2 linked regions of the Xenopus tropicalis genome follow. The protein of the gene in region 2 purifies or fractionates together with the protein of the main gene of each other region. This does not show direct contact. Links are inferred from orthologs where the notes say so. Each region holds a gene or a part of one and is shown on either strand. Other genes may lie near its edges. The genes, in order: ocln and tjp1.

Region 1 (3,042 bases), on a different chromosome or scaffold from region 2:
GGGTGCAGTGGCAGATAGCAAAATGCTTAGAGTTATGTTATTAAAACTACTTTATCCTCTTAATATACTCACTATAAAGCAAGAAAATTATTCACTGCTTTTGAAGCAACAAACTTGATATGTTCCTTTCAGGGAGTGTCTGATGGCCAGAATAGTCTGCCACAGAAGCTCTCCAATTATTGTAGCATAGTTATCAGTGAAATATTCCACATTATTCTAAATTGACCCATTGAGGGCTATCGTGAGCTTTTTTTTTTATAAAAAAAGTTATTGGACCTTAACAATCATTGTCTGATTACTCACTGTACCAATACATCTTCCTTGTACTGTTTTTTTTTTTGCTAAATTGATTTTTTTGCATGGAAGGGGCTTATTGGCTCTTAAACTTACCCAATGCCCTCTCAGGAATAGTTCATTGTTTACAATTGGTTACCTACAGGGCTGCAAATTTGCTTGCAGCTTTAACTCATCTTGTCCTGTATTGGATTAAGCAGGGAATTAACCCTGTTCCCTGGCTTTTGGTTGGTTTTCAGCCATGACAGCTAGAAAGCAGTGCTGTTCTTGAATAGCATCTTTAAGTAATAGTGAGCTACTCTCCCAGGCAATAGAGTACCAAGCACTGTCCACTACTAAGGTTTCCATCTGGCCTGTATTTCGCCAGATAGGGCTGGTATTACCTTGGCAATGCACTAACCAGTAAATCTGAAATTACTTTATCGTACCTCACCCTCCTGAACTGCTCTTCTACCCTACCCACCCTCTACCTAACTTTCCATCCTCACTCCCATCACATACAGATCCTCAATCAGCCCATTCCCTGCTTCCCCTCCCTGAAGGCTGGTAACATTTTCCTGGAAAAGCAGCAACTTAGATCTGCACAAAAGGCAGTAAAACAAAGCCAGAAGTGTTGGGAGTTTTGGTAAACAAGATATATTTTTTCTTTTTCTTAACGTCAGGAATTTAACAGCTTAGAAGTATACAGCTTGCATATAAAACCTCTTCCCCAAGGACTGAACAACTTACCGTTTTGACTTCCTTAAGCTGATTGTATTCATCTGCAATGCTCTGCAAAAAGACACAGCACAATAACAATTTATAACATCCTCATAACGACATTCAGTCTTAGCACACAAAGCACAAGGCAGAATAAGAAATTCAGGATAGGATCTATTTTCATTTTGCAAATTTCGTACAGATGAAGAGGATTGCAAACCCAAATACAAAAGCAAGGCCAAGGAGGCACACACTAAAGTGTTTGACCTGCCAATCAAAATCTGATTCCTACTCATGGATGAGGAAAGACAGATTTGCTTGAAAGGGCTTAGTGAACAATAACTATTTCAGAAACTATTTTTTTATTGATTGTATTTAGAATGCTTCTTATTTCCATGACGAAGCTCAAATTTTCATTTTCACAGTTCCCCATTAAACAAATGAAAGGTAAAGTAAAATAAGTAGCTTTTTATGTATGCTTTAAATTTATTCAGATGTACTTGAAGTTATTTGTATGTGTTATGAAAAAAAGTATTTTTGCTGCTCTCTGTATTGCTGTGTTGGACTACAAACCCAGTTCCTAGAAGTCGGCAAGATGGAGGAGAGAGAATACTGCTACATGTAGTCAGAACCAACAGTGGAGAGAACAGCAATGGATAGTCAGATAATGCTTTAAGTTGCATTTACATTTATTAGTAACTATGTAATAAAAAGTTGTTGGGCTTTCATTTGCTTTTATTATACATTTGATACTAGAGTTACACCCTCTTTAACCTTTCCTGCCTACTCGTGACTCCTGCCTCCTTAAAATAAATCATAAGTGTGTGCCAGCGCAAACCAAATTACTCCAGTGATAAACGACCAAAAGAATGAAAAACAGATTGTTTAGGGATCTAGATAAAAATGGAATAACCACGTACAATGCACAGGATGATACTAACCAAGCACCTTCACACACAATGCTACCTTTAAAAGTCTGATGCACTAAATAACTGACCTTATACGCTTCACTATTTTCCGGATGGTTGTCCAGTTCTTTATCCATCTGGGACAGGGATTTTGAAATCTCATCAAGTTCTGCTTGCAGCCCTTTGTATTCCTGCAGATCACTGGCAAACTCCTGCTTGTACTGCTGTCGTTGCTGGTCTGAAGTGATGGGTGGGTACTCACTATATAAAAGTGCAAGAAAGATAGTGCATTAGGTGATATAACCTGCCAATTCCAAAAAGACTAAAGGTCCCCATACACGGGCCGATTCTAGCTGCCGATATCAGTCACTTAGACCGATTCGGCAGCTAATCGACGGGCCTTCCCGACCGATATCTGTCCTGAAATTGGCCAGATATCGATCGGGCAGGTTAAAAAAATCTAGTTGGATCTGGGACCGCATGAGCTTGTTGATGCGGCCCCCGAACCAACTGCCCCATTGCCGCCAATATAATTCGATCGTTTGGCCCTGGGGCCTACACGTTCCCCTGATATCGTGTGAAGATCCGCTCGCTTGGCGATCTCGGCAAGCGAGCGAATCTTCACATGTATGGGGACCTTAATAGTAAAATGACTGGTCTAAAGTTGTTTGAATGATTTTTGGGCAGCTATCAGTTGGGTAGGCGAATGGGGGTCCCCATACATGGGCAGATAAGCTGCTGAATCGGCAGGGAAGGCGACGCCTTATACGATTTAATACTGGTGGGGCAGAGAGTCGGCATGCCTGGGGGAAAATAGGGTCTAGAATAAAGTCTATGAATAATGCATGAAGTGCTTCATACTATCTCACTAAGGCCTCACGGGGCCGATTCTCATCAGATAAACATGGATTTTGGGGTCAAAATTCACATGTGCTCTGAGTGCAGACACATGAGACTGCAGATGTGGGTGGAGGGGCAGATACTTGGCCCTTGGATAGCTCATGTGGCATTACCCTAACTGCAAAGGAAGCTTCTTTAGCTATGTATCAACACTACATCCCTCCGATGAGTTTAATTACAGACATCAGAGACCAGTGATGATAATATGTTGCCCCTTGGTAAGACAGGGTGACAGATGGTA
Region 2 (3,831 bases):
GTTTCAACAAAGGAGAGGTCTTTCGAGTTGTGGATACTCTTTACAATGGCAAACTAGGGTCATGGTTGGCCATTAGAATTGGTAGAAATCACAAGGAGGTGGAAAGAGGGATAATCCCCAACAAGAATAGGTAAGTGGTTACCAGTTTTACAGGTTTCTTTTGTATTTTTGTGTACTTTAACTGTATGGATAGTAGAGCTGTTTGGTTATGCTTGTGTGTTGGGTCAAAGTGGATTCTTTAAAGGGGACATACAGCATACATTTTCACAATGCAGTGAAACCATGTAAAATAGAAGAAGGAAGCGTGTTTGTTTTAATATTATGGGTCAAATACATCTGAATCAGCTTGATAACTGTGCTGGACCTGCCCCTTTTACAACTTTCCGGTCTCAGAGTCTTTGGTGTACATCTTATCATCACCTTCTGTCTCAGTAACTGAGCCACATCCATTAAGGGAGGACTGGGCATGCAGAGGTGGGCAGCGCTATAACACTCAATCCTTCGCTGTAGACCGCGCTCCCCCCTGCCTGCGTTACTCCCACAGATAGGACCTGCCAGCTCTGCTCATTTTCCCATCCCTTCCCTAACCTGCTCATTCTTCTCCCTCTCTGCCCTGCATGTTTCTCCCTCTCTGCCCTGCCCCACCTCCTTTACCATCCCCGCACTGCTAGTTCCTCACCCTCCCTGCCCTGATATGACTAAAAAAAAAAGTTCTATAAATGAAATGTAATTGTATATATTTCTTTTCTGGAGCAATGTATGTGTAGCAGGTCCATACAATAAATGAGCAGTTGCATGCTGTAATAATTTTTAGGTACTTTTGGAAGTACCTGTATCTGTTTAAAATAGCAGAGGCCTACCTGTGCCCTCCAGCTCCAAGGAGATGCTGTGTAAATGCAGATGAACAGGAGATAAAGGTGTTACAAGTGCCTTGGGTTAGTCATCATACAAAAGTAGATGTGTTGTTGGGCTGATTTTTTGCAGGGCTGAGCAACTGGCTAGTGTACAGTACACTCTTCCTAAAACTGCTGGTGGAGATCGTGCAGACTTCTGGAGATTCCGTGGCCTTCGTAGTTCCAAGCGAAATCTACGGAAAAGCAGAGAGGATCTTTCTGCGCAACCTGTTCAAACAAAGTTCCCTGCTTATGAGAGAGTCGTCTTGAGAGAAGGTTGGCTTTTTTTCATCTTAAGCCATAATTTGTTTTTATATTATTGTTCCACACATAATTATTTTGAGGCCCAGTCTTTTGAATTGATGACTTTTATTTTGTATGTATGTGATTTTATAGTGTAATAGCCATATTTATCTGTACGTTTCTATTCCATCCTTCTTTTATTTTCCCTCTGACCAGAAATTATTTCTTGCAGCTGGATTTCTCAGGCCTGTGGTTATTTTTGGCCCTATTGCTGACGTTGCAAGAGAAAAGTTGGCAAGAGAAGAACCAGATATTTATGAAGTAGCAAGTAAGTTAATTATTATGCTCATGGCTGTTTTACAGCTTCATGTTAATTGTTTATATTACTATAAATTTAATAAACCATATATTTTTTTAGTGGTTATTACTCAACCCATTATTCTTTTATTGCAAAGGCTTTCTAAATCCATTCCTTAGTTTCCAAGTTTATAAAAAATGAACACTAACACACCAGAGCAAAGTTAAAAGGTAGAATAATGGATGGAGGGAACTGGCTTTTTTAATGCCTCCTGTTTGTCACACACAGATGATTAATTTATAGATGTCTGAAACAATTACAGTTTAAGTAGTTTTTTATCTGTGCATCCATCCAGCTGCCTCTTGTTTACGCATACCAATTCACTGTTGGTGAAAAATTACATGTAGTAATGAGACCTGCTCCATATTTATTTAATGAATAGTCAGAACCTTCAGGCCTGATTTCTTATGTTAAACATAGATAATATAAACTCGTTTTATAGAAGTTGTTATTTAATTTAATGTTTTTCTTCAGGAAGTGAACCCAGAGATGCAGGTACTGACCAGCGAAGTTCTGGAATTATCCGCCTTCATACTATTAAACAGATTATTGATAGGGTGAGTGATGTACTGAAAAATTATATAAGATAATTTCATGCATGCAGATAATAATCTGTTTGGTGTCAGAATTTTGCACAGTACTGCATAACATATGATATTTAACTTAAACAACATAGCACAAAACTGGTATTGGCTTTTAACATCAGATAATAACATGGAAATTGTGGCCATATTAGATAAAGGCTTGTGGCAATAACTAAGGAGAAGATGACGCTCTCCTTAATAAATTTCAGCCCTTAGGTCCTTTTGTTGTTTGTCCTAGGCATAAGTCTGGGGAGTTTATCATGTCCAATTTATCATATTCTCTTTCTTAGTAGCAGGACTTTTAAATGTGTTCACATAATGGCCTCTGCATAAAACTGTTGCTGCACTGGATTTAGGAATGTACTGTCCCTATGTCACTATTCTTAGTCATGAACATAAAAGAATGGAATCCGTTTCTTTTTGAAAGGTTAGAGCCATAGCAGCTATAATTCACTTGCACAAAATGGTCTGTATTTCAAGTGACTGATTACAAGTAGTTCTACCATAAAAATCAAATTGGTGCATTTATTTCAGTGCAAGCAAAATCAGAGACTTGTTCTAAATTTCAGTTACTTATTTTTCATTTTCTACAGGATAAGCATGCTCTTCTAGATGTGACTCCAAATGCTGTGGACCGCTTAAATTATGCACAATGGTATCCGATAGTAGTGTTTCTTAACCCAGACTCTAAACAAGGTGTGAAAACAATGAGAATGAGGTTATGCCCAGAATCACGCAAAAGTGCCAGGAAACTATATGAACGTTCACACAAACTACGCAAAAACAATCACCATCTTTTCACAAGTAAGTTTAGAGGAAGTTCAGTTTAAACTAGAGTAGAAATAGTTGGATTGTCAGAATTATTTTTTTTGTATCAAATTATAACATACTGCATATTTAAAGAGAAAATGATATCACAGAAAATTATATTGGTGCATAGGCAGGCATCTCAGTGTATTGTGCCTGATTCTAAGCTTTTAGACAGAGCCACCACTACACAGCAGAAATGCTTTCGAATAAGCTATTGTTTCTCCTGCTTATTGTAATTGGAGTAGACTTGGCTGAGCGGACTTGGATTTTGACTATTGAGTGTTATTCTTATATCTACCATTTTTAGCAATACGGGTGTCAGGGCGCTGCTATATCTCTACCTTCCCATTGTTCTGCTGATCAGCTGCTTTTTTTATATTTTGTTAAATCTAGAAAAAAACTTTGCTCTTTTAAATAGATTTCAGTGCATAATTCTGCTAGAGCAGCACTATTTCTTATGCATTTGAATAGTTTTAAAGGCTCAGCCTTTACGTATTTGACTTATAAGGGTATGTACGCATTATTTTTTTCAAGGAAGGTTTGTGGTCTTTTGAATATCTAGCAAATCAACGCATATACTTTGTTGTAGCTGCAGGTATTACAGCTTGAATGCCTTAGCTACACAAAACACAACAGGATGTATTTATCTGTGTTAGACACAGAAACAAGCATTTGGGAACCTGTGGTCATGCAAGGGAACATAAATTGAAAATGATAAGATAAAGTTGCGCCAGATATGAAAAATTACACCAATTTTTAGTCTAGAGTGGCAGTCAAATACATGTATTCGGTAATTTGTTTGACTTATATGAATCTTGTTTTACAGCTACAATAAATCTCAACTCCATGAATGATGGCTGGTATGGTGGCCTTAAAGAGGCAGCACAGCAGCAACAGAACCAGCTAGTTTGGGTCTCAGAGGGCAAAGTAAGATCTTTTTTCA

What was found.
Region 1: the proteins of tjp1 (region 2) and ocln purify together in Homo sapiens (affinity purification with western blotting; 4 studies listed by BioGRID and IntAct, with this or other methods). This does not show direct contact. The link is inferred for Xenopus tropicalis from reciprocal best matches to the Homo sapiens genes TJP1 and OCLN.

Annotation. Positions count from the first base shown.
Region 1 is NC_030677.2:182,434,270-182,437,311, reverse strand, and holds part of ocln (occludin), read right to left. Parts: intron 2,163-3,042; coding exon 1,991-2,162; intron 1,066-1,990; coding exon 1,024-1,065; intron 1-1,023. UniProt on the Homo sapiens protein: May play a role in the formation and regulation of the tight junction (TJ) paracellular permeability barrier.
Region 2 is NC_030679.2:97,712,635-97,716,465, reverse strand, and holds part of tjp1 (tight junction protein ZO-1), read left to right. Parts: coding exon 1-130; intron 131-984; coding exon 985-1,169; intron 1,170-1,368; coding exon 1,369-1,464; intron 1,465-1,968; coding exon 1,969-2,051; intron 2,052-2,671; coding exon 2,672-2,882; intron 2,883-3,714; coding exon 3,715-3,815; intron 3,816-3,831. UniProt on the Homo sapiens protein: TJP1, TJP2, and TJP3 are closely related scaffolding proteins that link tight junction (TJ) transmembrane proteins such as claudins, junctional adhesion molecules, and occludin to the actin cytoskeleton.